Linked DNA regions of Notamacropus eugenii. The main gene of each other region encodes a partner of the protein of the gene in region 3 in a complex. Links are inferred from orthologs where the notes say so. Each region holds a gene or a part of one and is shown on either strand. Other genes may lie near its edges.

Evidence for each region.
Region 1: GTF2F2 (region 3) and GTF2A1 share a complex: the UniProt entries of both Homo sapiens proteins name them as parts of the TBP-based Pol II pre-initiation complex. The link is inferred for Notamacropus eugenii from reciprocal best matches to the Homo sapiens genes GTF2F2 and GTF2A1.
Region 2: GTF2F2 (region 3) and GTF2H5 share a complex: the UniProt entries of both Homo sapiens proteins name them as parts of the TBP-based Pol II pre-initiation complex. The link is inferred for Notamacropus eugenii from reciprocal best matches to the Homo sapiens genes GTF2F2 and GTF2H5.
Region 4: GTF2F2 (region 3) and POLR2H share a complex: the UniProt entries of both Homo sapiens proteins name them as parts of the TBP-based Pol II pre-initiation complex. The link is inferred for Notamacropus eugenii from reciprocal best matches to the Homo sapiens genes GTF2F2 and POLR2H.

The regions. Positions count from the first base shown.
Region 1 is NC_092878.1:65,974,219-65,981,067, reverse strand, and holds the start of GTF2A1 (transcription initiation factor IIA subunit 1), read left to right. Parts: upstream 1-3,836; 5' UTR 3,837-4,290; coding exon 4,291-4,320; intron 4,321-4,961; exon of another isoform or gene 4,962-5,205; intron 5,206-5,479; exon of another isoform or gene 5,480-5,598; intron 5,599-6,849. UniProt on the Homo sapiens protein: TFIIA is a component of the transcription machinery of RNA polymerase II and plays an important role in transcriptional activation. TFIIA in a complex with TBP mediates transcriptional activity.
Region 2 is NC_092873.1:251,843,807-251,851,431, forward strand, and holds the start of GTF2H5 (general transcription factor IIH subunit 5), read left to right. Parts: upstream 1-4,609; 5' UTR 4,610-4,745; exon of another isoform or gene 4,746-4,797; intron 4,798-5,642; 5' UTR 5,643-5,702; coding exon 5,703-5,737; intron 5,738-7,625. UniProt on the Homo sapiens protein: Component of the general transcription and DNA repair factor IIH (TFIIH) core complex, which is involved in general and transcription-coupled nucleotide excision repair (NER) of damaged DNA and, when complexed to CAK, in RNA transcription by RNA polymerase II.
Region 3 is NC_092877.1:295,657,803-295,664,669, forward strand, and holds the start of GTF2F2 (general transcription factor IIF subunit 2), read left to right. Parts: upstream 1-3,851; 5' UTR 3,852-4,097; coding exon 4,098-4,163; intron 4,164-6,867. UniProt on the Homo sapiens protein: TFIIF is a general transcription initiation factor that binds to RNA polymerase II and helps to recruit it to the initiation complex in collaboration with TFIIB.
Region 4 is NC_092873.1:56,975,343-56,982,651, reverse strand, and holds the start of POLR2H (DNA-directed RNA polymerases I, II, and III subunit RPABC3), read left to right. Parts: upstream 1-4,296; 5' UTR 4,297-5,285; coding exon 5,286-5,358; intron 5,359-7,309. Other genes in the region: CLCN2 (chloride channel protein 2), read right to left, coding at 1,453-1,512. UniProt on the Homo sapiens protein: DNA-dependent RNA polymerase catalyzes the transcription of DNA into RNA using the four ribonucleoside triphosphates as substrates.

The DNA.
Region 1 (6,849 bases), on a different chromosome or scaffold from region 3:
TACAATAGGCTTAATGTTTCGGGAAAGGACAGGACAGAATAGGACAGGACAGAATAGGAGGAAGTGAAGGGAAGGGAAGGGAAGGGAAGGGAGGGGAAGGGGCTAGTAAAATAAGTTAACTGGATATCTTTTGGCTATCCAAAGGGGCCATGCCCTAACTATTTCTTAAACAGGTCTATTCAATGAATGGGTATTGCCTCACCCTAAGTGAATACCTGCAAAGACCTTGGCCTAAAGGGCCCAAGGTCTCCCAGTGCATCCTGGGTCATCTCCAGTCATCCTGATGAATATCTGGTCACTGGATTCAGATGGCTCTGGAGGAGAAGTGAGGCTGGTGACCTGCACAGCCCTCCCTCACTGAAAACAAAGTCAAGTGTAAGTCATGTTATCATTTCTCTGATGGCATGGTCTTCTTTGGCGATGAAGGATGAACACGATTAAAACCTTAAACCTTAAAACGTTCAAATATGTAGTCAATTTAAGGTCCTCTTAATACAGTGCTGAATATATACTACTAGGCCTTCTATAAATGCTTGCAGAAGTGATTGAGGAGTATATTTAAATTTCATTCAATAGAAAGGAATTGCACTGTCATTTCAATTCAGTTGAAGGAAATTTGGTTGTACCTATTTACTTATTAGGTTTTATAGTACCTCTTCTCCAGATAACTCAAGTATCGACAAATAATTTTAACAATGTTTTAAAGTACCATATACAAATACGGGGATCTGTCCTCAGGTATCCCTGTACCTGTTGAATTTTTAGTCTCCTCCTCAAGTTGCTTATCTTTCTTTGTCCTACTCTCCCAACCTCCCCAGTTATCTTAAGGTCACAGAATTGTTGAAATTGTTGTTGATTCTTCCTTCTTTAAGAGAACCAATGACACCATGAAGGTGATGTCTTGACTTACTCATGGACTGTATTTGAGGCAGGGCTGTAGTCCTTAGCCTTGCTTTCTCCTTCAAAGTCATTGGAGTCCAGTGACAAGACAAAAGTCAAGACAATGATAAGGGCAATGGCCCTTAAGATCACAGATTTAGAGCTGGAAGGGACCTCAGAGTTCGTTGAGTCCAAACCCCTCATTTTGCAAATAAGGAAATGAGACCGGAGAGATTCAGTGACTTTACACACAGCTAGTGAATGTCTGAGGGACAGCTAGATAGCACAGTGGCTGGGCTGGGAATCAGGAAGATTCATCTTCTTGAGTTCAAATCTGGCCTCAGCCACCTACTACCTGTGTGACCCTGGGCAAGTCATTTAACTCTGTTTGCCTCAGTTCCTCATTTGTAAAATGAGCTAGAGAAGTAAATGGAAAACCACTCCAATATCTTTGCCAAGAAAACCTCAAATGGGATCATGAAGAGTAAGACAACTCAACCACAAAGTAAGAATTTGAGACAGGATTCACACTCAGGTCTTCCTGACTAACCCAACACCTAAAACTGATTTAACCTCACTGGGATAAGAATCCTAGATGTATTGTCTACCAAATGATCTTTAAACTTGTTATACACTCTGAATCTGTGGTGTGTTGTGGAAAGCAATGAACTTGGATCCCAATCCTAGCTCTTTTTATTACTTTGTGACCCTGGGAAAGTCACTTAACCTCTTCATGGTTTCATTTTCCTCACCTCATTGCACCAGATCTCTTAAGGTTCCTTCCACTTCTGAGTGCTATGGTCATGAAGTGGATAAAAATGTTGTTCTGGATAATTTGCTACCCTGATTAGCTGAGATCAGAACACAATAAAACACGCTCAACTATTCCTAGATGACAGATAGGACTCCTCCTTTTAGGGAGTTCTGCTTCTACGTGGTGCAGCCTTGTGATGAGTGAGGTAGGTAGTGACTCAGGGGAGGCATCTGGAGAGTGATAAGAGTGAAGTGGCTTGGTAACCTGAGTCTAGTACAAAACCTTAAGTTCATAACCTTCATTTCTCCTCTTTCTTTCTGTGTTTTCCCCTTCAGAGCCCACATTTCGTGATTTTTTTCCTTTTAAGACTGCTCTTGCTGATTCATTTGAACTTGGTATCATTTCTACAAAAATGTCATTTCAGCCTTGCCCAGTGCCAAATAGGATCCTTCCCCCAATTCCTTAGATATGCTAACTGTATGATTCATAGGCACACATAATGATGATTAATAATATGGTATCATTGCATAGAATTATGAAGAAAAATTTGAGTTTGCTGGCTTTCTGGTGATTTCCATTCTGGATCCATGGGGGCTGTGACTTCTCAGTTTGGGGTACAAGGGAAGAGTCAGGCTGTTGTGCTTCTACCCTCGCCACTGTTTCTGTCTTCGGAGAATCTAGGATTTTTACTTAACGTCACTGCTGTCTTAAATAAAGGTAAATAGCGTACAGCTGTAGAGGATTTAAACCGCAACCTGGTAAGAACGCCGGTGCAGGAGGCAGTACGCGATGACAACACACACGCATGAAGTGCCTGCTGTGGGCCAGCTAAGCGCAGGAATGCGAGGACAGAGAGAAGACCCCCTGCTGTCCAGATCCCGGCCAGCCTCGCACAAACAAGCTGCGTGATGAAGGGGCATCAGGGAGAGACTTGTTGTATAAGGCAAGAATGGCGAGGGGCTGAATTCCGGCCAACGTTCCACTCCCGGGAGATGGAGCGCATTGTTTGAGGGCGCCGCAGCGCCCGTGCCCCTGAATCGCAGTGTTTGGGGTACTTCTTGGGGGGTGGAAAGGGGGGTGGTGGAGAGCTCTGAATGCCAAAGCATCTTAGAAGCACTCGCTGTGCGCCACGCACGGTGCGACCTGGACGAATTACAGAACAACCCGGCAAAGACCCCCCTTACAATAAGAGGAGACACGTGGGGAGAGGGCTCCAGGGAGGCGCACTTGGGGCGACCCAGTCCTGCCATGTTGAGCAGTTCTCGAACTGCGGCTGGGGAAGGAGTCGGGGTTGCTCACGAACTGAAATGATTTGGGGTGTAAATCCTGGAAATACTCCAGTCGGTCAAGGCGGATACCAAGTGTCAATCTACCGTTTCTACAACAGGACTTCGGCAGCGTCGGATAACCGAGTCGGGACAAGCACGCACGTGCCCACCAAGAGGCCCCTCCCCCCATTTAAAAATGACGCGTGCATAAGCGCACAGAACCCCGCACCCCGTTCCCTTCGCCGGAGCCGCGGGCGGCAGAGGCTTTCAGGCGCGAACGCCGGAGGGCTGGCTTCCCGAGCAGCGCGACCCGGCGGCTGCGGCCGAGAAGCGGCAGGAGGAGCTCGTCCCAGGTGTCCCTCGGCTCGGGGAGTGATGACTCCGCAGATCGAAACTTAAGCCAGCGCCCGGCTCGCTGGGACAGGAGAGTCACGTGACCCGTTCATCCCCGGCCTACCCCAAGGCCGGAGCTAACCGGGCTTGAAGTGAGCGCCACTTCTGAAATTCCGCCGAGCTGAGAGGGCGCGCCCCTGGGGAGGGAAGAACGGGCGGCCGGTCCGAGACTCGCGAGCTGCTCGATTGAAGCTCCCGCCTTTCCCTTCGGCCGGTTTAATCGGGTTTTTTTGGTTTTTTTTTAACTCTTATCTTTCCAAAGTCAGAGACACGAAAAGAAACTTCCGCCTGGGTCACGGCGGAGGCAAAACCACGTGACCCCGGCACGAGAGGCGATTGGGAGTGGGGGGGGCGGGAGTAAGTCGGTCCATTTCCCAGCTCCGCAGCCTGGCGGGGAGGGCCTCACCTTCGCACCGTGAGAGTCCCTTTGGCAGTCTCGCGCGCCCCCACGCGTGCGTGCGCCCGGCCGCTCTCGCGTTGTCTCGCGCCGCCTACCCCCCCCTCCTTACTCCTCCTTCCCCTCCCACTCCGCTCCTTCCCTCCTCCCCCTTCCCTCCCCTCCCCTTCCTCCTGCCCCTGTCTCTCGACGGTGGTGGCTCGCGCAGCTCGTTGGCTCACTATATAAAGGAGAGAAGCGGGCGGAGAAGACGGCTGGTGGCTGCAGCCCGTGCGGCGGCGGCGGTAGCGGCAGCGCGGGGGGCGGCGACCGGTGGCGGTTTCGCTCCTTTGCCCCGGGCGGGGGGCGGGGAACGCTCCCCGGGACCCCCGAAGGGTCACAATTTTTTTAAGGGCGATTCTCGAGGATCTCAGCTCCCGGAGGACTCCCTCCCCCCCTCACCGCCCCCCCCTTCCCCCTACTCCACCTTCGGGACTCGGTTTCGTTTTTCTTTTTTTTTTTTTTTTAAATCTCGGTGATCTGGTTACAGTCGGGGTCTCTTTTCTTTTTGTTTTTATTTCTTTTTTTAAATTTTTTTTGTTGTTGTGTTGTGTGTGGAAATGGCGAACTCGGCAAATACAAACCCCGTGGTAAGGATGTGACTCGGTGACCGGCGGCGGCGGCGGGGGCGGGCGCGGGCTGGGGGCCCGGGGCCCGGGCCCGGGAGCCGGAGCCGGGATCAACTCTTTTCCCCCTTCCCCGCCCCCACCCTCAGCCTCCTCTCGCTGTCGCCGCCGCCGCCACCTCTTCCCGCCGAAGGGGAGACCTGGGCCGAGGGCGGGGGGAGGGGGGTGGGGTGGAGGCCAGAACGGGGGGCTCATGGAGGGGGGTGCAGGAGGAGGGGGGAGAAGCGGGGGAGACGAGGGTCCAAGCGGAGGGCTCTCAGCCGCGCTTTCAGGGTGTCAGGAGGGCTCTCCCCAGGTTAGTCTCCACTCGGGCGAAAGAAGAGGCTGAAAACTTGAGAAAGGGGAGGGGACGGGGCAGAGACCCTCTCCTTCCGCCCCCTTCCCCCCAGAAAACCGCCCTAAGATGGTCTCGGTGGAAGCGGAGTTGGTTTTGTTTGGGGGGGAGGAGTTTAGAGAGGAGCTGGATCCTGCGGGGCAGCCGACAGCTATGGCCGCGTCTCGGACGGGGAGACGGAGTCCCCGAAGCCCGCGCTGGCCCCATGGAGGGGGAGAAATCCGGGGCTCGGGAAGAAGATTAATCTTCCAGACCCCGCCCCGATCCAGTGTGCTGGGGGTGGGGGAGGTTTCTTTTCTTTATTTTTTTCTTTTTTCTTTCCTTTTTTTTTTTAACGAGGATGCCTTGGACTAGCGCGAAGTGTGAGGCGACCCTTGAGTTTTGTGGTGGTTGATTTCTTTGGAGCTGGATGGGGCCATTTTACGTTGGAAAAAGAAGGTTGAAAAGCACTTGTCCCATCTCCTTTAGAATCGTTAAAATGGCGAAGGGGAAACAAAATCCCGTCATACCTTCGACTAGCAAGAGGAAAAAAATGACATTGACCAAGGCACCCCTCCGCCTGAAATGCCGCCTCGTCTCCCCCACCCGTCCCCGGGTCCTTTTATTTTTTTTGTTACTTGCAGTCACATAGGTTTGCAAAAAGCAGTCACATAAATAACCTTTGCAGTCACCAGTGCCATGTGATCCTCGATCCACCCGACTCTCCTTTATTATAAGACTAATAACAATAAAAAATGCCATCCCCCTCCCCAAATGCGGCCAGCAAACCCTCTGTGCCCAGGACCGTACCGTGGAGACTCGGCCCCTTGTTTGCCACTCTCAGAGAGAGATCGATCCATCATGGCTGCTGCAGCTTCCCCTGCTTTTGAGTCCCTGCTCCTTGTGGTCCTCCTCCCTTTGGCTGCCCTGTTTATATAGAGCCATTGCGCTCTCTAATATAGACTCTGCCAGGATGGGAAGGTGCTTTTCAGCCCTACGTCACCGGCTCTCCATTTAAACCCCAGATCAGGCTTTAAATAGTGAGAGCTGCGGAGCGCGAGGCTGGGAGGTGCATGCTCCGCGTGAGGGAGGATTCGTGCTCGCCTGCTTGGTTCTGGGTGGCCTCTTCTGGCACTTGAGTTGTGCAGCTCTGGGGTCCAGCTCTGCCTTGCTCGTCGACGCCGGCTCCTGCTGCAGGCACTTGCTCTGGCTGCTTTTTGAACGAGGAGGCTGTGGTCTTCTCTGGACGGCTTTGGGGTATTTTTTTCAAGAAGGAAAAAAAATGAGGCCTTCCTTCCTAGTACCCCAAGTTTTTCCAAAGTATTTGGAAGTGGAAAATAAGCCACATTTGTTGTAACTTATACGGAAAATATAGGACAAGCTGTCCAGGGTTGAGGTTTTTTTTTCCAAGCATTTTTTGCTTACAGATGACTTCAAAACATATTTAGAAAAACCTGTTTATTGAAAATTTTAAAATTGTAAAAACGTCAAAATCATACTTGTGAAATGTGGAATACTATAGTAAATGTTAAATGTAATTTCCCTTCCATGCTTTTTCTTCAGGGAAAATAGTATTTTCATTGTGAATGAAGAGGTGCTTTGGAGTGCAAACACTGTATTTAAAAAAAAAAGGTAGCAGGCTAACAGAATGCTGAATTGATAGATATTAACATTATCCTTGTTACACAAGCAATTTCTATTTTTTTTTGCATTGTGTTTGTATATAGGGTACTAAGTGTGTAGATATGGAATTACAGAACCTGTCATCACCACTACCCTTAGATGTACATGGACCACATAGGTATTTGTTGCTATATGTAATAGATGAGTGTACCAACAACTGTGTATATAGAATTTTTGTCAAGTAGAACCAATTATTCCTATTAGGGGAACTGATTAAGAGGAGCTCTGTAATAATAGTTGATGATTACATGGCTACATGTATTATTTCATTTGATCCTTATGACAGTTCTGTCAGGAAGTATAAATATTTATACTGTTTTATTGATGAGGTAACTGAAGTTCAACGTTGCATTACTAACAGGAGTTGGATGGATTCCGGGCTTGGGAACTGGATTTGGAGACAAGATGATGTTTTTTCAAATCACATCTTTGCTACTTAGTATAACTACAACTAAGCCCTGTCTTCATCACTTAAAAAAGATAGTTGGACCACATAG
Region 2 (7,625 bases), on a different chromosome or scaffold from region 3:
GTGAGCTCTAAGGGAGGTAGGCCAAGCAGCAGTGGGGGCCCAATTAAGGCTGTGTGACATATATGTGAAGAGGATCCCATTAGAACGATTACATAATGTTCTCCATCTTCATTCAGCAGAAGTAAAAGCACTGGTTGGCAGAGCACCACTGACAATATAAGGAGACCAGGAACCTGAGAAAAGAGAACAGCACAGAGCTGAACTGGTTCAACAAGGGTTTAATAAGGGGAAAAGAGGAGAGAGTGCCTAGTACAGATGACCTAGGAGAGAACTAAGGGTTGAGGAACTGGAGGCCAAGGTGTGGATGAAAAATAGGGTTTACAAAAGGAAGGCCAAGGGAGAGGTGGAAAGTCAAAAGATTATGGTCAGAAAAGGTGATTTCAGAATTCTTGAACATGCAGGTGGTACATCTGCAGATGATGGAAAGACCAACGGTTATCTTTGTGTGTAGCTAAGGTAGGATGGAGGAGTGAGGTCAAGGGAAGTTAGTAGTATGAGCAACTGAGTGCTTAGGGTGTTTGAGGGTGAGTCAGTACATGTGCTGAAATCCCCTAGCATAAGGGGAGGAGTTAGGAAGGAGAAAAATCGTAAGCCAGGTATTGAACTTGCTGAAGAAGGAAGGAGAGAGATGTGAGTAATTGGAATAAAAAACTGATCAGCTTACTATTTGAGTTTAATTATATATAAGAAAGGGAAAAAGTGAAATACCACTTTGAATTGATTTTTCAAAATTATCTTTTAAACAGAAAATTAATCTCTCTTCTAGTTCTGGAAAAACTTTCCTTAGCCTTTTTTCAACTTAAAGTGCTTCAATACCAGAAAAAAAACTATATTCTCAAAAATAAAACAAACTCAACATTAATAGAGCAAATTGATAAAATGGTCTAATTTTATAAAATATTAAATTAATAAAGTGGTGGAAGTCCATGATACACATATGTTTAACAAACCATGCACTCAGCACTTGACCCAATGCTTCAAGGTACTATGTTTGGAGCTACAAGAGATTCAAAACTCAGTAGTTCCAGCTCCATACACAATAAGATTGCTCACAAGATAATTTTTGTACCTTTCCTATGACATTTTGTTATATAATACTGTGGGAGTTGAGAAGTGGAAGTGATTTTCCCACCTGGGAAGATCAGGAAATGCTTCATAAAGAAGATGGCAATGATTTGACTCTTCAAGTATGGGTATGATTTGAACAGATGAAGATGAAGAGGAAGATATTCCAGGCAAAAAAGTCTTTAATATAATTAAAGGGAGAGTGATGGAGTAAGGAAGAGGCATGTTCAAGAAACAGAGTGACTAGGCCAGTTTGACTGGTGCACCAAATACAGAAAGAAGAATAAAAGATAAAAATTAGAAAGGCAGCTGGATTTAAAAAATGGAAAATATTAAATGACAGACTGAACTGGACTTTTATTCAGTATGTAATGGGTAGTCATTTAAGTTTTTTGATCAACTGAGCAGAGTATATGATTCCAGTTATATTTATAGGATTATTTCCCTGGCAGGAGTATGCAGGACAGATTGGGAGAGAAAGCACAGGCACTTAATAAATATTTGACTGATTGACTGACGAGAGAGCCTGGAGACACAAATCAATTAGAAGGCTACCACAATAATTAAGGAAGAAGAAGAAGAAAGGGAATGGAGAAGTGAACAATCAATAATATTTGGCAATGTACTGGACTAAGTAACGGAACAGAAAAAGGAAACAAAGAGGTCTGAACTCTGAAGTTGACTGGGAAGATAGTAGGACCAATAATAAAAATAAAGAAATCAGAAGATAGAGTGATTTTGTGAGAAAAAACACCCAAACACCACAATTACAGATAAAGCAGAAAACACCATAACCATAGGTCACTTACTTCTTGCTACACGACTGGTAAAATTACTTTCTTCCTGTTTCACAAATACTAGAAAATAAGAATAAATGTACTTTACAAATCATTATATGTATATACTACATATTTATGTGTTCATTTTTAATAATTATCTCCAAATTTCACATGTCCTACCAAACAAAACTTACCCTAAAAGCTTCCCTGGTGTGGCTCCACTGTTGACTACAATTCTGTAATAGTCTATGGTTAAAGAATAGAAGGCTATAGACATCAGACTCCCTTTGATACCAGTAAAGTCCTGAAAGGCATGCATTATATTAACTGCACTGTTGTTTTCATCTCCAGCCCTCCACACCACTTAGTTCAGTACTCTGCCCTTAGTTATAATCAATAAATGCTGTCCAATGACCCTAAAGACTACTGGCAAATAAAATCACACTTCATGGGAAAAAGATGAATGCTGAAAGCTGTTTCTCAGGGTTGTTTTTTTTAAATAGTCAATAACTCATCTAGGCCAACAAATGATTTTTCAACCCTTAGAAGTTTTGGATCATTTCAGTTTTTAATGACCCCTCTTAGCTTTCTTTTCTGATTTATTAGGCTCAGTGCAGAACCTGCTTTTCTTTTCTCTCCACACTCCTTCACTGGAAGACCTAATCAGCTCCCATGGGCTCCATTACCATCTCTATGCAGGTGCCATTCAACCACACTAGACATTTCAAACTGAATGCCCATAGGCATCTCAAATTCAACATACCCAAAACAAAATTCATTCTTTCTCTCTTTTTCTCTCAATCCACCTCTCTTACAAACTGCCCTATTATTGTTAAGGGTACAACCAGTCATCTAGTCACCTAGGTTCAAGACCACAGTGTCATCTTCAACTCACTTTCAATTATCCCATCTCTCCAAATCAGTAGCCAAAACTTATCACCTCTGTCTCCGCAAGGCTCCTATACATCCTTCCTTCTCTCCCTTCACACCTCCATCCCCACTCCCACCCCTCCATTCAAGTTCCCTATCACCTCTTACCTAATTTGTTATCCTTACTTCAAATCTTTCCCTAATTCAATCTCTCCTCCACACACCCATCAAAATAATTTTCTAAAGGACAGGTATGACAATGTCACCCCACATTCCCTTACTCAATAAGTTCCAGCAGTTCCCTATTATCTCCAGGATCAAATATCAATTCCTCTGGCATTCATATCTCTTCACAACCTTCTGTCCTTCCAATCTTTTATGTGTTAATCCCCTGCTTGCACTCTTATCCAGACATACTGGCCTACCTGCTGTTCTGCACACAAGGTGTTCCACCTTTCATCTTCATTTCCCTTCTTTGTGGCTTCGAATAAAAAGGTGAGTTGTCCTCTGTACCTCGTATGAACTCCCTCCTCACCTCAACTCAAATGTTACCTTAACCATGAAGCCTTTTCCTGATCCTTCCAGCTGGTAGAAACTTCCTTCCCTTCTATTCATTTTGTGTATATATATATACAAACATATATGTATATGCTTATATATGGACATGTCTCCTCCATTAAAACATACATTCTTTGAGGGCTGGGACTGTTTCAAATTTGTCTGTGCATCCCCAACCTTTAGCACAGTGCCTGGCACACGGTAGGGACGGTTTAGTGAATGACTGACAGGTTAAGTGACTTGCCTTGGGTCACCACAGCTTAAATATTTGCATTAGAGATAACTCATGACCTGGGAAAAAAGAGAGACTGAGAAAGAGACAGAGAGAAGGAGGGAGATAGAAAAAGAAAGGGGAAGAAAAGAAAGAGAGAAGAGACAGACAAGCGAGAGAGGGGAGGGAAAGACAGAGGAACGGAGGAAGAGGAGACAGAAAGAGACATGGAGAAAATAGAGAAAGAGACAGAGAGAGACAGAGGAGGGAGAGACAGGCAAGAAAGGGAAAAAAACAGAGACAGACTGGACGCGAGTGGAAGGGGAGAGATAGACAAGACAATCATAAACAGACAGCCAAAAGACAGAGAGCCCAGGAAGGTGAAGAGAAAGGAGAGAGAGAACAGAGACAGGAGAGATGAAAGACAGGAAACAGAGAAGGGGGAGAGACAGACAAGGGACAGGAAAAGAGAGATAAGACAGAGAGAGGGTGGATCGCAGTAAAGTGTGAGGGAGGACATCAAATTGCACAGCAATAAGAAGTGAGAGGGAGGCGAGAACATTGGTGCAGCCAGGGCAGACAGCTGTCTTCCAGAAGCCTGGCTGTAAGAGGGAGCTGTACAGACGGAAGACGCAGAGGGGAAGGCACCCACCACCCACCTCCAAAGGAAGCAAAGGGAAGCAGGAAGAGGCGCACGCGCACTCACGAGCCAGGGCCCAGCTGAGCACGCCACGCCCCCCGCCTAAGCAGTCAGTCGGTTAAGGGCAAGGCAGGACAGCGCCGGGCACAGCCGGGCAAGGCCAGGGTCAGCCTCAGAGAAGCAGTAGGGTGGCCCGCGCAGCTTCTCAAACGGGGGTGCTCCCGTGGCTCCGCTCCATCCCGCCCCAACGTATCCGGCTCCGAGCCTCCCCAGCCCCCGGAGGAGTCACAACTGACGCACTCCTCGTCCCTCCCCCGCTTCCTTCCCACCTACCTGGCTGCTGCGGGCGGATCGTTCCCGCCCACAGCCGAACTGGATCTGGTGGGGGGGGGGAAGGAAAGGAGGAGGATAAGGGAAAAGACCCACCCCGATCCGCTCCCGGGCCCCGGCGCCCAAGAGCCTCTGCCACTGGCGCGGGCACGTGACCCCGCCCTCCGTTCCTCCCACGGGTGTAGCCCCGCCCCCTCTGCGTAACCTCACCGACCCGACGCAGAAACCTACAGCGCAGGCGCACTCCGCTGATAATTCCGGCGAGCTGCAGCTGGGACCTGGCTGGTCGGAGGTGCGTCGCTGTTGTTAGGGATTGGTAGGTGGTGTAGCTTCCGGACTCGAAGGTGAGAGGAGTACGCCTGGAGTGGCCGAGGGATAGCTAGGCCCAGGGTTAGCCACCCCTTCCTCTCCCTGCCGTGCTGCCTTCCTCAGGGGCTGCGGAGCGAAGGCACGGCCTTGCCCCCCCTCCCCCAGCCCGCGGAGGATCTGGAGTCCTCGGCGTGTTGGGTGCCCAGAGCAGGACCCGGGAATGTGAATAATAATAGTAATTTACTAAGAGCCGATTTTTACGTAGCTCTTTAAGGTTTGTCAAGCCCTTTACGTAACAACGCTTTTCATTTGTTGTCTCACTTCAAGCAGCCTTCTCAGGCTGCCGTGAACCCTTCCCCCATCCCCTTTTATTGTGACTTAGATTGATTGCATCTCGGCCTGGACTGTCTATCTATTACCGGTCCCAAGCTCGGACCCTAAAACACATCCAGGTCCTCATCCCCGGGTTTCTGTAGGCGTCCAAGTGCCAGCAAATACTGGGTTGGATGTGGTCCTGGATTATTTTTTTTTAAAAAGCTAGAATACCCAACTATCCCTAATAGTTAATTTTTTTTCCTATTCACTATGTCCCAGCCTTTACTAGAATGAGTATTTAGAATTTTGTTGTATTCCATATATTTAATGTGTGCAATTTGGTGAACAAAATTACACTTGATGATAGGTTAAATTTTAAGGGAAAGTCAATGATGACAACTGAGCTATATTTTCTTTGTAAATATGCTTTATCGTCTTTGAATCAGAAGTGTTGAAAATGACTTTTGTGGGTTTATGTAGTAATATCATCATTTTCATTATCCTTATGTTTCTTTTAGTGAAATGTTAAAATTGATTATTGATTGATTTTTTTTTTAAATTTTAGTTCACTTCGTCCCTTTTGTTGACATCATTGACAGCATTTGACACTTGTAACTTGGAGAAAATGGTGAATGTCTTGAAAGGCGTACTTATAGAATGGTTAGTACTTTTTCACTTATGAGTGTTGATTTTCTCACTTACTTTTTTTTGTTCCTACGAAGCCCATTAGTTTCCTCATTTATAAAATTAGATGATCTGACTCAGTGATAATCTAAGGCCACCTCCTGCTCCTTGAGATTTTATGATTCTAAGTCCCAGTGAAGCTTTTCCTGATTATTCCAGGCCTTTTTGGTTTTCCTTTTCCTTTGAACCACCATTGAACTTAGATGTTCTACCCTCTGGTTTGGTACTTAGAATCACACATTCTTAGAGGATGTAGGACTACCAGTTGACACTTTTCCTTCTCCTCTGCTAACTTCTGACTCTTTGAGGAACTGTGCTCTATAGTTCTCTCCACTTAACAGCAACCACCAAGTTCAAGGCACTGTGGGGACACTGGTGTACATTAAGTAGTTCAAAGCAAAATAGAGTAGCCTCATGATTGACTGATGTTAGTTTACATAGAGAAATAAAAGATACAATTGGATGTCTTTTTTTAACTTGGGCTATTTATACCTCTTTTTGGAGTGTCTTGCAAGTTTATGTTGATGCGTGGGTAATTGACCTGATTATATATTCAGTAAGTCATAATTCACATTACATGTGGGGATGTTCTCTAATCAACTTGATGCATTTTACAGGATGTTGAGAGTCTTGAATTTGGATTGTGCCTTTCTCTGAAGAGCATAGACACTTCCCTGTATATTCTTTAGGTCTCTTTTTAAAGACTAGTGATTGTTTCATGGGTTGAGGATAAATACAGGCTTTGTTTTTTAAACAGCAGTGGAGATTAATTGTTTGGCACTAGAATGTTTCTAGTGGTGTCACTACCCTAGAACACTACCACTATAGCTATTCATTCTCTTCTCTGTAAATGGGAGTAGTAGTTGTTTCAGTTTTCTTTCTCTTACTTCCCATTTGGGATTTTCTTGGCAAAGATACTGGAGTGGTTTGTCATTTTCCTCCTCTAGCTCATTTTACAGATGAGGAAACTGAGTTAAGTGATTTGCTCAGGGTCACACAGCTACTAAGTGTCCGAGGCAGAATTTGAACTCAAGAAGATGAGTCTTCCCAACTTCAGGCCCATCACTCTATCCACTGTGGCATCTAGTTATCCCTAAATGGCAGTAGATGTTTTAAATGCTATTGAATATGCTAGCCTACCTTCTGGAAGATATGATAAAAGTTCTAAACAAAAGCTCATCATACCTTAAAATTCATCAAATGAACTTAAATAGAGTTTTAAGTTTTAAAAAGTTCTCTTCTTACAACAGCCTGTTAGGGCAGGCATTTCAGCTACTACCCCATTTTACAAAAGAGGAAATTAACTTGCCCAAGGGTACACAGCTAGTAAATATTAGAAGTAGGATTTGAACCCACATCTTCTTGATTAGTGGTCTTTCAGTTGTACTGTTTGCCCTTGAATGGAAGCTTTAAAAAAAAAAAAAAGATACAAGTGGCACAGACGTAACATATTAATGCAGATATCTTGATTATGCAAATACTTTACTCAACTTATTTCTCAGAAGCAAAGAACACTATTCAATTCAAAGTATTCAAGTAACTTTCTGAGGTGAGAAATAGAAAATGCTGGACAGTTAAAGGATCCCAATATTTTCTTAAAGGTTGAGAGATCAGCAATACATTGAGAAAATTATGAAAGGAGCTTCTCTGTGCCTACACACTTTCTAGTTTTAGCTTTTTTGGTGTAGTTGCTCTAGATGATCATCTCGGAAAAAAGGCTTATACTTCCTGTGTACACATCCTCATCAGCACCCACTACAGTCTAGTTCCCATCATTCAACAAAAACTTTAATCCTCACCACTCTACTGAAACTGTTCTCCCCAGAGCCACCAGTAAGTTCCCAGTTGATAAATCCAATAGTTG
Region 3 (6,867 bases):
CAATGCAGCCAAGATTAGAAAGAAAACAGAAAACTGTGGGAAAGTTTTTTATAGACAGTTTCTTGGATAAAGGTCTCATATGTCAAATATATAGAGAACTCTGTCAAATTTATAAGAATATGAGTCATTCCCCAACTGACAAAGGATATGAACAGGAAATTTTTATATGAAGAAATCAAAGCTAATATAGTCATATGAAAAACAGCTCTAAATCATTATTGATTAGAGAAATGCAAATGAAAATAACTTTAAGATATCTCATATCTATCAGATTGGCTAAAATGATAGAAGGGAAAATGACAAATGTTGGAGGGAATATGAAAAAATTGGGACACCAATACAATGTTGGTGGTACTGTAAACTAACCTGGAGAGCAATCTGTATTTATGCCCAGAGTTGTAAAATTTTGTATACTCCTTGATCCAGCAATACCACCTATTAGTTCTGTTTTAAGATGATCAGGGAAAAAGGAAAAGAATCTATATGTTCTAAAATATAGCAGCTCTCTTTGTGGTGGCAAAGAATTTGAAACTGCAGGAATGCCTGTCAATTGCGGAATGACTGAACAAGTTGTGGTATATGATGGAATACTACCGTGCTATAAGAAATAATGAGCTGGATGGTCTTAGAAAAACATGGATAGATGTATAAAATAATGAGGAATGAAATGAGCAAAACCAAGAGAACAACATATACAGTAACTGCAATATTGTTTTAAGAACAACTTGGAGCAAATAAGTCATTTTGACTTTTATAAATACCCAAATTAACTACAAAGGACATATGATAAAAGATGCTGCCTGCATCCAGAGGAAAAAATGACAAATAGAAGTATATGTAGAATGATTTTACGTGTATATACGTATCCATCTCATATCGCTCTTCTCAACTTTTCCTTTAGTCTTCCTTAAAAATGAATAAGAACTTATAAAAGAAGAGGTTATCCACTCTCAGAGAAACAGTGGACAAATAAGTCTAGTACAGTCTTACATAGATGCATATGAATGTATATGTCTATATATTAATATGATTATAGATATCTAAGTATATGTAAGTATAAGCAAGTGTATGCATGTAAGGGTATATGTATGTATGCATGTATGTATTTTATATGTATACTTATGCATATATATCTGAACTTAATTGTAGCCTTCTGGGATAGAGAAGGAAGCAGGGGGGTGGGGCAGGGGAAAGAACAAGTAAAGAGAGCACAGCAGAGAACAAAAGAAAACTTAAAGGACACAAAGATGGACAGCTCAGAACACAATGTGTAGTATTTATTATATAGACTGTCTTGAAACGGAAATTTATTGCTGTGTATTGCAAATCCTTTCATGTTCTGCTGTGCCCATGACAATTCATCTTTTCTTTTCTTATATTGTATTGTTTTGATATTTAAGTTTATAATATGTTTCTTTTTCTTATTGTGTATTTAAGTTTTAGTATTTAAGTTAAAAATACATTTTAAAAAAGAAAAAAACAGAAACAAAAAAATAAAAATAAATGAGAAAGACAAAGGAATAAAAAAATTCTTATGTGGAGATTGTTTACTGATATTTGACTCAATAACCTAAATCCTTGGTCCTAAATTTTTTTTTGGTATTATGTATCTGTATATAGCAACAACCTGTAGTACCTGTCTTTAATAAGTATCACTTTAATGTAGACATTAAGGTCATTAACACAGAATGTAGCACCCAGAGGATGTAGGACTATTTTTTGCCTTTCATTTTATCCCTATTGCTTAGCAAAGTGAATGGTACATATTCAGTACTTTAAAAAAAATACTTGTTGCCTGACTCTGGTAGAAAGATTGCTGAATTTGGAGTCAGAGCAGGTCGGCTCTACTACCAGTGCCACTGTGGGTGAATCATGTCCCGGCTCTGACCCTTTTTCTCATCTGTAAAATGTGGGTTTGTACTAAATGACCTGTATGGTCCTTCCCAGTTCCATATCTATGATGCTATGATGAAAGCGAACCTAGCAATCTGAGGAAAAATGGAAAAGGTTTAAAATAGTGGTGTGGGAGGGAATTTGATCGTTCAAATGGAATCAAATAGAAAAAAAGTACATGGCATTCAGCAAGGCCCACCTAATGTGACAATAATGTCAATTTATGCAGGAGTCAGTGGTTCTGGATTTGTGATTTCATCCAGGAATAATATAATATTATAAATCTGGAGTTGCAAGGGACCTCAAAGGCTAACTAGTCCAAAATTCTCATTTCACCAATAAGAGAAGTGAAGTCCAAGATGGCTAAGGGACTGATCCAAGTTTACACAATAGAAAGCATCTGTGCAGAACCAATAACAGAGAAAGTGTATAGTATAGTATCATTTTACCCAGAATTGGTAAGGTAGCATTGCAACTGCTGACCATGGGGTCCCAGACACAAATGAAGTCAGAAAGGAAATGAAGGAATGAAGGACTGGAAGAAAAGAAAAGGGTAGAGGGCCTGAAAATCATCAGTCAATTCAATTCAATTCAGCAAGGATTTCTTAAGTGCAATGTGTGATTTAGTGGAAAGAAAATTGGTTTTGACATCTGAGCGCCTGGGTTCAAATCCAGCCTCTCGTGCTTACCACCTGTATGGCTTTAGGCAAGTGACTTAATCTTCCAGGGTTTCATTTTCCTGAAATGTAAAATAAGGGGGCTTGCTGGAATGGCTTCTGAGGACCCTTCTAGTCTCCTCTCCTGGATCATATGTGTCATTTATTGTGCTAAGCATAGGAAATAAAAAAAGGAAACAGTCTCTGTTTTCAAAGCCTTATTTATATTCTACCGCAGGAGACAATATGTACATAGATATGTAAATACAAGCTATATACAAAGTATTTGAGGGTGTGAGATAAAAACATAGGGAACCACGACAAGTGGGGAGTAGGAGAAGTACAAACCCAGGAAAGTCTGCAAAGCTTATCAAAAGAATAATTCCCTCTGCTCTGAATACATGTAGCATACACGTGCTGCGTGTATCATCTGGCCCATTTCATCAAGCCTTACTTAGTAATATTTCACATTCTAGCATGCTTATTTTCCATTATCCACCCTGTCTACTGAGAGGCCCTCCAGATCCATGGGCCTTGCCATCTGCCCTGATGCATAATGAGCCCTCCCCGACTTAGCTGGAACCATAACTGGATCAATTGTCACTGGAAAGGTAGTGTCAATCAATCAGTCAACATTTATCAAGTGCCACATGCCATCAACATTTTTGCCAATCATTCACAATCCCAGTGACTTCCCAAATCAAAGCACCCTTTACAGTAACTTCCTTCTACTAGAATAAGTACTTGGGGGCAGGAACCATCTCCTTCCTGTTTTGGTATCCCCCTGGACTTAGCACGGTACTGGGCACACCATAAGCGCTTAATAAATGCATTTTCTTTTATGCCTGTCCAGGCACTCATTCATAGCAGTGACTAGAAGAGGGAGTTTCACTGCACTGCTTCTCGGAGATGGAGCAGTTCTGAGTGATAACAGATGTTTATCACTATGGAGAGGAGGGTCACGGAATAGAGAAATCTGGGGAGAGGGTGTGGGGAAGGTCAGCACCCTGGAGAGCTCGGAGCCATGGGAAGACTTTTGGTAAGGAATGCAAAAAATGTTGTGCATGACCTTGGCGAAGTCACCTGAGCTCTCCTCTGGGAGCTGACGAACGTTCTCCCCAGGCTCTTCCCCAGCTGCCGGTCCATCTACAGCTCGTCCATCACACCTTAGCAAGTCTTTATTCTGTAATCCTTCTGGGGAGCCCGGCCCTACTAAGCAACAGCGTAGAGATCTACAACTGCGCCTCTTCTCGGAACAGCCCGGTAGGAGCCGGCATCCCCGCTCCCCGCTCCTGTCCAAATACTTCACAAGCCACGCCCACTTCCCTGAGCGGAACGAAGGATGTATGTCCTCCACGAGGCACCGTAGGGTTCGGACGTAGTGCGCAGGCGCGGCTTCCCCGGTCTCCGGAGCGGCGTGCTCCCCTCCCCCAAACTAGCCGCTTCCCGGCTTTGGAGCGACGCCGGTGGCCCCAGACCTCCTGACTTCCTTCCTCGGACCCGCGCCCCCTTCTCCTCCACCGGCGGCGGCGGCGTCGGCGCAGAGTCATGGCCGAGCGCGGGGAGCTCGACTTGACCGGCGCCAAACAAAACACTGGAGTGTGGCTGGTGAAGGTAAAGGCCGACTGAGCCCAGCCCCCCAGGACGCCCCCTCCCCCACCGGGGGTCCCGCCTTTCTCCCCCAAGCTCCAGGGGGTAGTCCCAGCGTGGATTGCGGGACAGTTACTGTCACAGTGTTTCACTCCACTCAGCACTTGGGGTAGGGGGTGAGGTTGGGAACGCAAAGACTGGGAGGCTGGACTTGGGGGAAACATAACATGCACCCAGAAAAGTAAGAGCAGAACGTGAGGTTATCCGTGTAGAGCTGGAAGTCCCGCTCCTTCATTTAACAGAGGAGGAAACTGAGGCACCGAGCGGCCAAGTGACCCGGCGTGGCGGGGAGTCCGGGGAGGGCGCGGGTGTCAAACAGCCTGCAAGTGTCCGAGTCTGCTTTGGAGCCCAGGCTTAGCGTGATGGTTAGATCCACCGGTCCAACCGGCGCGTCCCATGCGGTCGTGTGGGAGGGGCCGCAGTCTGGGGCCCCGGGGGCGACCCCCTGGTGAGCGCGGGGGGGGGCGGGGTGTGCAGGGCAGAGGGGATGAGGCTTGTGCCCTCCTGGTACACGGACACGATCCGCAGGTTGTAGTAAGTGTGGGTCTAGGACGGCAAGGAAGAGGGTGACTGAAGTTCAGGGAGAAGCGCGCCGTAGAGAGCAGGACGGAGGAGGAAGATAGCGGAGCGTCTGGACGGAGGAGACTGCGCTCGGAGAAGTCCAGCCGGCCATGTGGTCACTTCTCTGCCGGCCACCGAGGACGGATAGAGCGCTGGGCCCGAGTTCGGATGCTGCCTTCGCCCTGTGGGCCTCAGGGGCCTCCTCTGTAAAGTGAGCTGGAGCACACCCCAATGGAGTCACAGAGTTGGACTTGACAAGTGATTGAACAGGAAAAGAGGAGAAGTTGTTTAAGGGTAGAAGGGAGGAAGGTAATGAAGCTTCCTGGAGAGGTTAGCTAATCACATGGTGCAGAGGCAGAACAGAATAGTGGTTAGAGTTGGAGAGGAAGAAGGTGAGCATGGATCAGGGTACATTTCGTGGAAGAGGTGATGTTGGAGTTGAGCTTTAGAGGGGGAGGGACGGCACTTCAGGCTTAGGCACAGTGGTGGGAGATCATTACTTGGATGGGTAAGCAGGTTGTGATAGATGTGATAGTGGGAGGGTAGCCCCTCTCCGCTGATTTTCCCCACCAGACTTCATAGGAGCCTAATCCATAAAGTGTGTACCTGAGGCACGCTTTGAACCCTCTTAAGTGCCAAGCCACTGGCTTCTAGGCCTCTTTCATCACAGTGTCATTCTTATTGTCACATTTCAAATGGACCCTGTGAGTGGCCAAAGGAGGAGATATGTATTTATTAATTTGTTCATATTGTATTACACCTGCAGTAACTATTTTTCTGTGAATTGATCAGATTCTCAATCCTGGCATGTTTTCAAAATGTGCTCTAATTCTTCTTACCAGTTCTAGTCATGTTTAAAGACAATTTCATAAAGCTGTTGAATCAATCCAGAAATAATTATTGAATACCTGCTAGGGTAGGCATTGTGATCGATATAAAGAATCTGTGTTCCCTGTCTATAAGAAGTTTGTGGTGTAGTTGGAGACGCACGTCAGCACATGAAAAAGTGAATAAAATTAAATAGCAATAAAGACAATAATATAAGAACTCGCTTGCCGGGTAAAGATAATAATTTACGTGGTGTTTTAAAGTTTAGAAAGTCCTTTTCTGACTACAACCTGTTCAGGGAGATAGTGGAAGTCTCATCATTACGTTTTCGTAGATGAGGATACTAAGGCCCAGAGAATTTAAGTAATTTGCTCAAGGTTATCCAAGTGGTCTGTGTAAGAGCACAGACATGAACCCAGGGCTCCTAAATCCCAAGTCACTTCATTATGAGTCACTCAGCCAGCAAACATTAAGCTCCTACTATGTGTCAGGCCTACTACTTGCTAGGCACTGGGCCTGGTCTTCAAGGAGCCAACATCCTATTGAAGGAGACAACGTGCACATATGTACAAAATACATAAGAGTTCAGGGCTTTCTTTTGCTTTGGTTTTGGTGGTGCTTGAGATGAACTTCTGAGGAAGCTAATAGGGATTCTCAAAGGTGGGAGAGAGAAGAGAGCAGCTTGTGCAGAGGCAGGGAGATGGAGTGCCCTGTGTGAGGGACAGCCAGAGACCAAAGAGTTCACAAAGGGGAGGGATGTTGTAAACTTGGATAGACAAGCTGGATCCTGGTGATGAAGTGCCTTTGATGCCAAATAAACTATGCATTTGTGCTTGATCCCAAGGGACTGTGTGGTATAGTAAAAGGAGCATTGAATTTGGAAGGGCCTGGATTTGTGCGCAGATCAGTAACTTAAGACCAGTGTGATCTTGGCCAAGAATTTTAACTTTTCTGACTCTCAGTTCCTCATCTGTAAAATTACATTGGAGTACATGGCTTCTTCCTTTTTTTTTCTGCCATAAAGATCAAATTGTCTTATTTTTCTAATTTAATGATTTTATTATGAACTTGTATAGCCATCAACAAATATAATTTCTATAGACAAAAAAACAGAAAAAGAGAATTGTATATGAAATTGAAACTTAGGTATAACTTTGTTTTTTTCTTAAGCATACAGTACATTGTACCCTTCTGTTTGTGTCTCTGAATCTTCCTTTGCTTTCTTGATATTTTATGTCTCGTTAATGCTGTTTTTCTTGAACAATGCTATTATTTCCCT
Region 4 (7,309 bases), on a different chromosome or scaffold from region 3:
GGGAAATCAAAAGGGAGAAGGAAAGGGGAAGGAGAAAGGAGAAAGGAAGGAAGAATGGAAGACAAAGGGGAAGGAAATAAAATAAAAAATGTTAAGGGGGAGAAAGTATAGAAGAGGGAGAGGGAAAAAAGAGAAAAGGAAAGACTTGTCGCCGTAAAGAAAAGGCAAATGGAACCAGAAGACAGAATAAGCGTCACGTAGCAAAAGATGGAAAAGGTGAGAGAAGAAGGCTTCAGGACTGAAGGCTGATCTGTACAAAGAGATGGGGAAAGGGGTCGGGGGAGACAGACAGGCCCCTTCAGATAGGAGCCTCTCAGTGCTGACAGCGCAGGGATCTTTTCCCCCTGAGAGATCGTCCCATGTGCACGTTGGGTTTTTCCAGCGAAAAGTACCTGACGTCTCCCCCAGCCCCAGCACATCTCTGGTCTCTCCCCCTTTTTCTCATCTTCATCTAGTCTCACTCCCTTCACCTTCCCTTTGTTCCTCTTCCTCAGCTGTTCCTGTTCCTGAGCTCCCTCCCACCCATTAGCCTGCTGACCAGCCCCTCCCTCATTTACTGTCTCTAGACAAACTATCCTCTGGCAGTCTCTGATCTCAGTGCTGGTCCATGCTGCCTGGAGTTCTTCCACTCACTCCTCTGCTTTTCCCCGTGGCTGAGGTTCCATCCCAGCTGCTGGATTCTAACCTGGGGAGAACCCCCTTACCCTGGCTGCCCTCCCCGTGGGTGCTGGCAAGAGATAAATGGAAGCTGGAATGCCAAAGTATAGTGGAGATCAGCCCAGTGAGTCATCCCAGCTCAGAGCCCCAGTCATCAGGCCCCCTAATGGGGTCAGAGGACACAAGGTCCAGGACTGGAGCTGGGCCTGCATTCCACCCTACCACCCAGGGTCTGGCTTCAGGCTGAACTGGACCATCCCAAACTAGAAGAGATGCCCCACCACCCCCAACTCTGTCTGAGCCCAACTCTGGGCTGATCAAGAGTTCAACAAGAATGGGGAAAGTGGCCAGTGGAGGTACTAGATGGAGCCGGAGAGAAAGGAGCAACAGAGAAGAGGAAGGTCAAGGAACTTGGCGGTGGGTGGTGCTAGGGCTCTGCTCTGTGCCCAGGGGAGAGGTAGAAGGGGTAAGGGAAAGGGTGGGGACAATCTTGCTGACCTGGAGTCTTTGTCTAGTACTCCTAGCTCCTCCATTCACATCTTAACCTCTTCTGACAATTCAGTTATTCATCCCATACCTGCCTCAGTTTCCCCACATAGGTAGATCTCTCATTCCTGCTCCTTTGTATGTGTGTGTGTGTGGGGGGGGCGGTGAGGGGGACAGGGGAAAGAGGCATATACGGTAATCACTAAGGCCCGGCCAGAACCGCCCCCCCGCCCGCCCCCTACCCCAAGCTGCAGCCCCAGCGGCGGGTGGAGAGAGATCCAGGACTGGCTACGAGGGGTCTCCACTCACCAAGGTCTGCTCATACTGGAGAGCCCGGGGCTCCATCCCTTCCTCTGCGGCCGCCGCCATCTCCTCCACGTAGGACAGCCTGGCCTGGGGCTCCAACTCCAGACAGCTCAGGCTCAGTGGTCCAAGCCTGGGTTCTCCTCCCTCCCGGCACTACTGCCTACTCAGCTCGAGCCCTGTCCCCGCAGGCTCCCGAGTGCCGCCCGAGCCCGGTGTGGTCTCCCCCACTTCCCTCCCGTCTCCTCCCCTCCCGGGCGGGCCAGGGGCGGTTCCCGAGGAGCTGAGCTGGGCTGGGCAGTGCTGCTCCTCCCGGAGGGGGCGGCTCAGGCCGCGGGAGGGACTGCGCCCCCCACCCCCCGCCCCAGGCTCTTCTGGGGGGTCCCGCAGGGTTGGGGGAGCGCCCCACAATCTGAGATCTCTCCCTGGGACAGCTCCCCCTCAGCTCTCTTGGCCCTTCCCACTTGGGAGCTAATCCCTCCCCTCCAAGGCCTTGCCGAGCTCTGCTGTCCCGCCCCCAGACTGGAAGAACCGACGCAGGGGACGTGGGTTTCCGTCCAGCTTTGTGTGACCTTGGAAAAGTTACCAAACCTCAGTTTCCAGAGCTCTAAAATGAAAGCGTTGTACGGAGGACGTCTAAGATCCTCCCAACTCTAAGATCTATGACCCTGTGATTTTGAGATAACCGTTAGAGCGAAATCGGTGATCCTGGGAGAGGGATACCAGCCCAAGCCAACGGGTCACCGGCCAATGTGGCGGAGCCATAGAGTGCTAGCTACATCAGGGAGCGAGAATTGTATTTGGGTCTTTGACGGGGCAACAAGCTTTGAATTGTGTCACCTGGTCTCCCACCAAGGTTGGGCTCTCTTCTTTCCTTATTCGTTTTGTCTTCCCTCACAGTCTATTCCAGCCTCATCACTCCAGAACTAGGGACTTAGGGGAAAGTTCTTGAAGTTTCATTTAGGGACAATCAGGATTTCTGGTGAGGGCACTGAGGAGGGAATCTGAAGTAGGGACAGAAGGAGCTAGCGGCTCCTCCTGGATCCTAGATCCTAGAATCCTAGTTGGAAACACCAGTCCACCCCAGCTCATTTTGCAGGTTGGTGACTTGTCTTTTCAAACTTAGGTCTTCTGACTCTAACTCCAGTCATCTTGCCCCAGCATCATTCTGTAGGTAGAAACTGAAGGGATGAGGGTGTAATCAATCAGTTAACCAACAATGATTAAACATTTACCACATGCTAGTGAGAGTCCCTGCCCTTAAGGAGAGTCTAAGAGGTCAGGGTCATTTTAGGGCTACAATAACTGAGAAACACTCTCTAGATGTCAACTTTTTTTCCAAGCCCGAAGCTCCTCTCTTTTTAATCCAAGATCCCTTTGTTCATTCATGTTCTCTTTACCTCTTACCTGGAGTGTACTGGCCTTCCTGCCTCTAGTCTCTCCTCTTTTCTATCCATTCTTTATGGGGTCCCAAATCAGACCTGCACAGACTTGAATATGATTCTCCTATTCTAGAACTTTTAAGTGGATCCCTTGGCTAGGAATTTCAAATTTCTCAGCTTAGGATTTAAGGTTTTCCCCAATCTGCTTCTTTTGATCTACCTTTCCAAGTTTATTTCACATTACTCTACCTTTCCTTTGTGTTCCTGGCACAAAGGGAGTGATTGATAAGGGCTTTTAAAAAATTTATTCATTTATTCAACCAAGTTAGATTATTAGTTCCCTGAAATTAATATCCCTGCCTCAGTGCAGTGACCAAGGGAGCAGCCCTGCCTGGAATTTACTCCCTCCTTCTATCTGTTCCTTAGACTCCTTCTGTTCCCTCAAGGCTTAGCCCAGGTGCCACCTCTGTCGGTCTTCCTTAAACTCTCCAGGCAAAAGTATTAGCTCCATCCAGAAAATATCCTAGAGTACTCTGGAGTCTCTCCTTTGCTTTGATGTATTTTATTGGGCATTTTGCATCTCTTTGTAGGATCCAAGTACCTGAAGGTAAGGGACTATTTCATTTTTGTCTGTTATGTCTAAATATTCCTGTAATTTTTGTATGTATGGACCACTTAACAAGAATTTGTTGAATTGATTTCTCAATGGGAGAAGGCTTGATCAGCTAGAGGTAAGAAGAAAAAAACTGAGTGATTTGGAGGAGGGCATCTTCCTGGAACCAGAATGAGAATGGACTCATCCTTGGAAGTGACATGGATAGCAAGGATATTAGGAACTGAATTCCTTGGGGGTGGTGGTGGTGGTGGTGGTGGTAGTGGCATGGTTCCCTTTTCTCTTTATGTCTGTGTGCCTCTCTTGGGTGCTGTATCTGGTGAGAGCTGGGCCTGGCTATGACTGGCCAGGTTGTAATGATGGGGATGGGGAAGACTAGGGAAGAAGATGGGGAAGATAGAAAAAGGAGAGAACCTAGGAGGGAGTTGTAGAGGCCACTCCCCTGAGACTGGCCCTAACTAGGCAGGGGTGTGGGGGGGCAGAGATCGCCTTTTCCTGGCAGGGCCCCAGGCCCGAAACCTGAGGAGCTGCTGACGTGCTAGCCCAGTAGGGAAAGAATGGAAGTGGCAGCGAGTTCCAGAGCATGGGAGTCAATGCGGGTGGGGGAGGAGGCTGCTAGGACAGGTGAGGGGGCAGGAGCAGGCAGTGGGGAGAGGGATTGTCAGCCAAGGGAAGAGTGCCCAGGGATGGAGCGGGGGTGGAGTGGGGTGGGCAAGTGCCAGGTGTGTGCAGCACCAGAGACAGGTAGCGTGGGCAGTGCCAGAAATAGACTGTGCCGGGCTGACAGTGCCAGGGTGGGCTGCTCCGGGGAAAGGGGCAGGGCTACCACCCGATGATCTCACTGCAGATCCCCAGGAGGGCGGGGCCACGCCCCAGGACCTCGGCTGCGGTCGCCCGGGGGAGGTAGTCACCTCGAGGACCGGCCGTGCTCACCTCCCCCGGCCCCGACCGAGGAGGAGGAGGAGGAGGAGAAGAAGGAGCGGGGCGAGGTCCGCACCAGCCCCCAGGCCCGGCCCTAGTCGGGGACCGAAGCCCGGGGGCGACCTGTGGACAGGCGGGGCTGGCACTGGACTCTGAGCCGCCCGATCAAGGTCGCGGCCAGGGGTGGAGCTGAGATGGGAGGCGGGGCCTTGGGCGGGACGACGGGTTATTCTGCGCTCTTATAGGTCCGAACGAATTCGGGGCGGAGCCAGACCCAGAGGGCGGGAGAGGAGGCAGGAAGAGCTCTCTTTCGGCATCTTCATAAGGCCTGCACGAGCTTGGGGGGAGGGGCAGGGTCTAGGAGGCGGGGAAACCGGCCCAGCGTCCTTATAGGCCTTAGAGGGCTTGGGGGGCGGTACTGTGGGCAGGACCCGCGTCCGTCCTTTGCTCTCTGGGACCTGGAGGGGCGTTACCGGGGTCGAGGGGCGGGGACAGCTCTATCCTCCACCCGCCGCCGTCCAGGTTTTCAAGGTCTCCGGCTCGGGGACACACAGCTAGATTCATGGCCTGTACTAGGGACTGTGTGGGGAGGCGGGATGCGGAGAGGAAGCTCGAGCAATTGTCAGGACGTGGGGGGCAGGGGCGGAGTCAGTGCCCGGAGAGCCAGGCGCTGAGCCGGGTCCCACCCCCTTGGCCAAGTGCGCATTCTCCGAACGGCGTCGCGACAAGGCCAGCGGCCCGAGGCGAGAGGGGGTGGAACGGGAAACGGTGAAGAGGAGGAGCGGAAGCGGAACTGCGTGTAGACGCCCGCCCCTAGCTCGCGTGCCGCGTTTCTGCGCACGCGCGGTCCCTGATCTTGCGCGGCTCTCGCGCCGGCCTCGAGCTTGCGGTGCTTTGGCCCCCGTCGCTTCCCGCGGCCAGCCATGGCCGGCATCCTGTTCGAGGACATTTTCGATGTGAAGGACATCGACCCCGAGGGCAAGAAGTTTGACCGAGGTGAGGCTCCCCCCGGGGAGGCCCCGCCCCCAGCCGTGCGTCACTGAAGAGGCCCCTTCCCCACATTTCTCTTCAGCCTGAGGAGACTCCCTCCTCCCCGACCAACAGGAGACCCCGCCCCCCGACTCCTCCTTGAACCCTCTCGCCCCTCCCCTGAAGAGACCGGACTCTTCCCCATCTTCCGTTTCCGGGGAGTATCCGAGCAGCTACTTGGGCGCTTACCGTGTGCCGGCTCTGTGCCCCGCGATCTAATGCCGGGCGGGCTCCCGACGGGGACGGGCCAGCCGAGGGAGGGCTCGGGGAGGGGCCTGGGAGCGGAGTCGGCTTCGGGGGCCCCTGAAGTGGGGGGGAGGGGTGACGTGGTCGGACTTGCTTTAGGGAAATTAGTCTGGGGACTGAATGGAGGATGAGCGGGAGTGGGGAGGGACTGGGGCAGGATGACCCCCCCCCCCCAGAGTCCAGGTACAAGGGGATGGGGACACATTGGAGACCTGCTGAAAAGACCAACCGGGCAGGATCCATGAGGATGGGGGAGACGTGGGCATAGCCGGTAGGGAGAGATTGAAGAGGGCTGAAAAAGTGAGGGTGGCAAGGGGGCGGTTAGGATGGAATGGGGTCTCTTGCCACTTCTGTGAACTGGGTGAAGGAGAAGAGAGAGGGAAAAAGATCTGAATGATGAGACAGGGGGAAGAGGGATCTCTCTGAATGAGTGTAAAAGGATTGCTTTGCTGCAGTGAGGGCCCAGATGAGTTATGTAACATGTTTGTACTGGATCCAGTTATTTTGGTTTTGTGGTTTTTCTCCAGCTTTATTCAGCATCACATGAGCAGGAGTGCAGGCAGCCAGTGGTGACAGCAGATCAAAGCTGGGGCTTTTCAGGGCAAGATTGGAGACAGGACAAGGGGGCAAGGGAAGGGGGAGAGGGGACAGCAGAGAGGTGAACTGGTTCAGTGAGGTGAAGATGGGGAACAGAGGAGAATGTAGTCATTGCAAGGCCCAGGAGAGAACTGGGGGGTGTGGGATTGGAACAGGAGTAGAGGAATATTGATGTATGCACATGTGATGGTGGGGAGATCATCTTAGGGAAGGTCATCTTAGTGAAATCAAGAGGGGGAGAAAGTACCCATAGTGTGGCAGAGAGGGGAAAGGGCTGTGAGGTCAAAGAACAGGCAATTGAATCTTCCTGTCATTCTGGGGAAGGAAGACTTGGGAAAGGGGAAGGAGTAGAATCACTCAGTCATCAAGCACTAATTAACATTTTGATGTTCCAAGGACTGTGCTAAGTGCAGGATGTATGGAGAAAAAGGGAAACTGGTCACTGTCTGCTAGGAGCTTACATTTAATGGAGACAACATGTACCTAAATAGGCTCATGTGTACCAGACAGGCACTGTGGGGATGCCCTCCAGGACTCTGTCCCAGTTCCTTTTCTCTTTTTTCTTTATGCCTTCTCATGTGTTTCTTTATGCCTTCTCAACATAAGACTGTGTTGTCTTATTGTCCCTGCACAGATGACTCCTGGAGATGTACTGGTCCAGGACCAGTATACTGGTCCTATATACTGGACCTGGATCTAATCCTGGTCTTTCTCCTGATTTCGCATCCTGCATCCTACCAACTGCCTGTTGGATGTTTTGAACTGGCTATATCTAGGCATCTCTGACTTTAATGTGTCCAAAACAACTCACTGTCTTTCCACTCAAAGCTGCCCTTCTTCTGGACTTCCCTGTTGCATCACCTACGTTCACAATCTCGTCATCATTCTCAGTCCTCATACATTCTCACTGTCCCCACAGACTGGGACAGTTTCCAAATCTTGTTTCTTTTTCTACAACATCTTTTGGCTGAATCTCTCAGTCAGTCAGGAAACACGTAATAAAAACCAAACTCCTGGGATACAAAAGGAGACTAAAGCCACTCTTCCCTTTGCTCACACAGTCAGTACCCAAGTT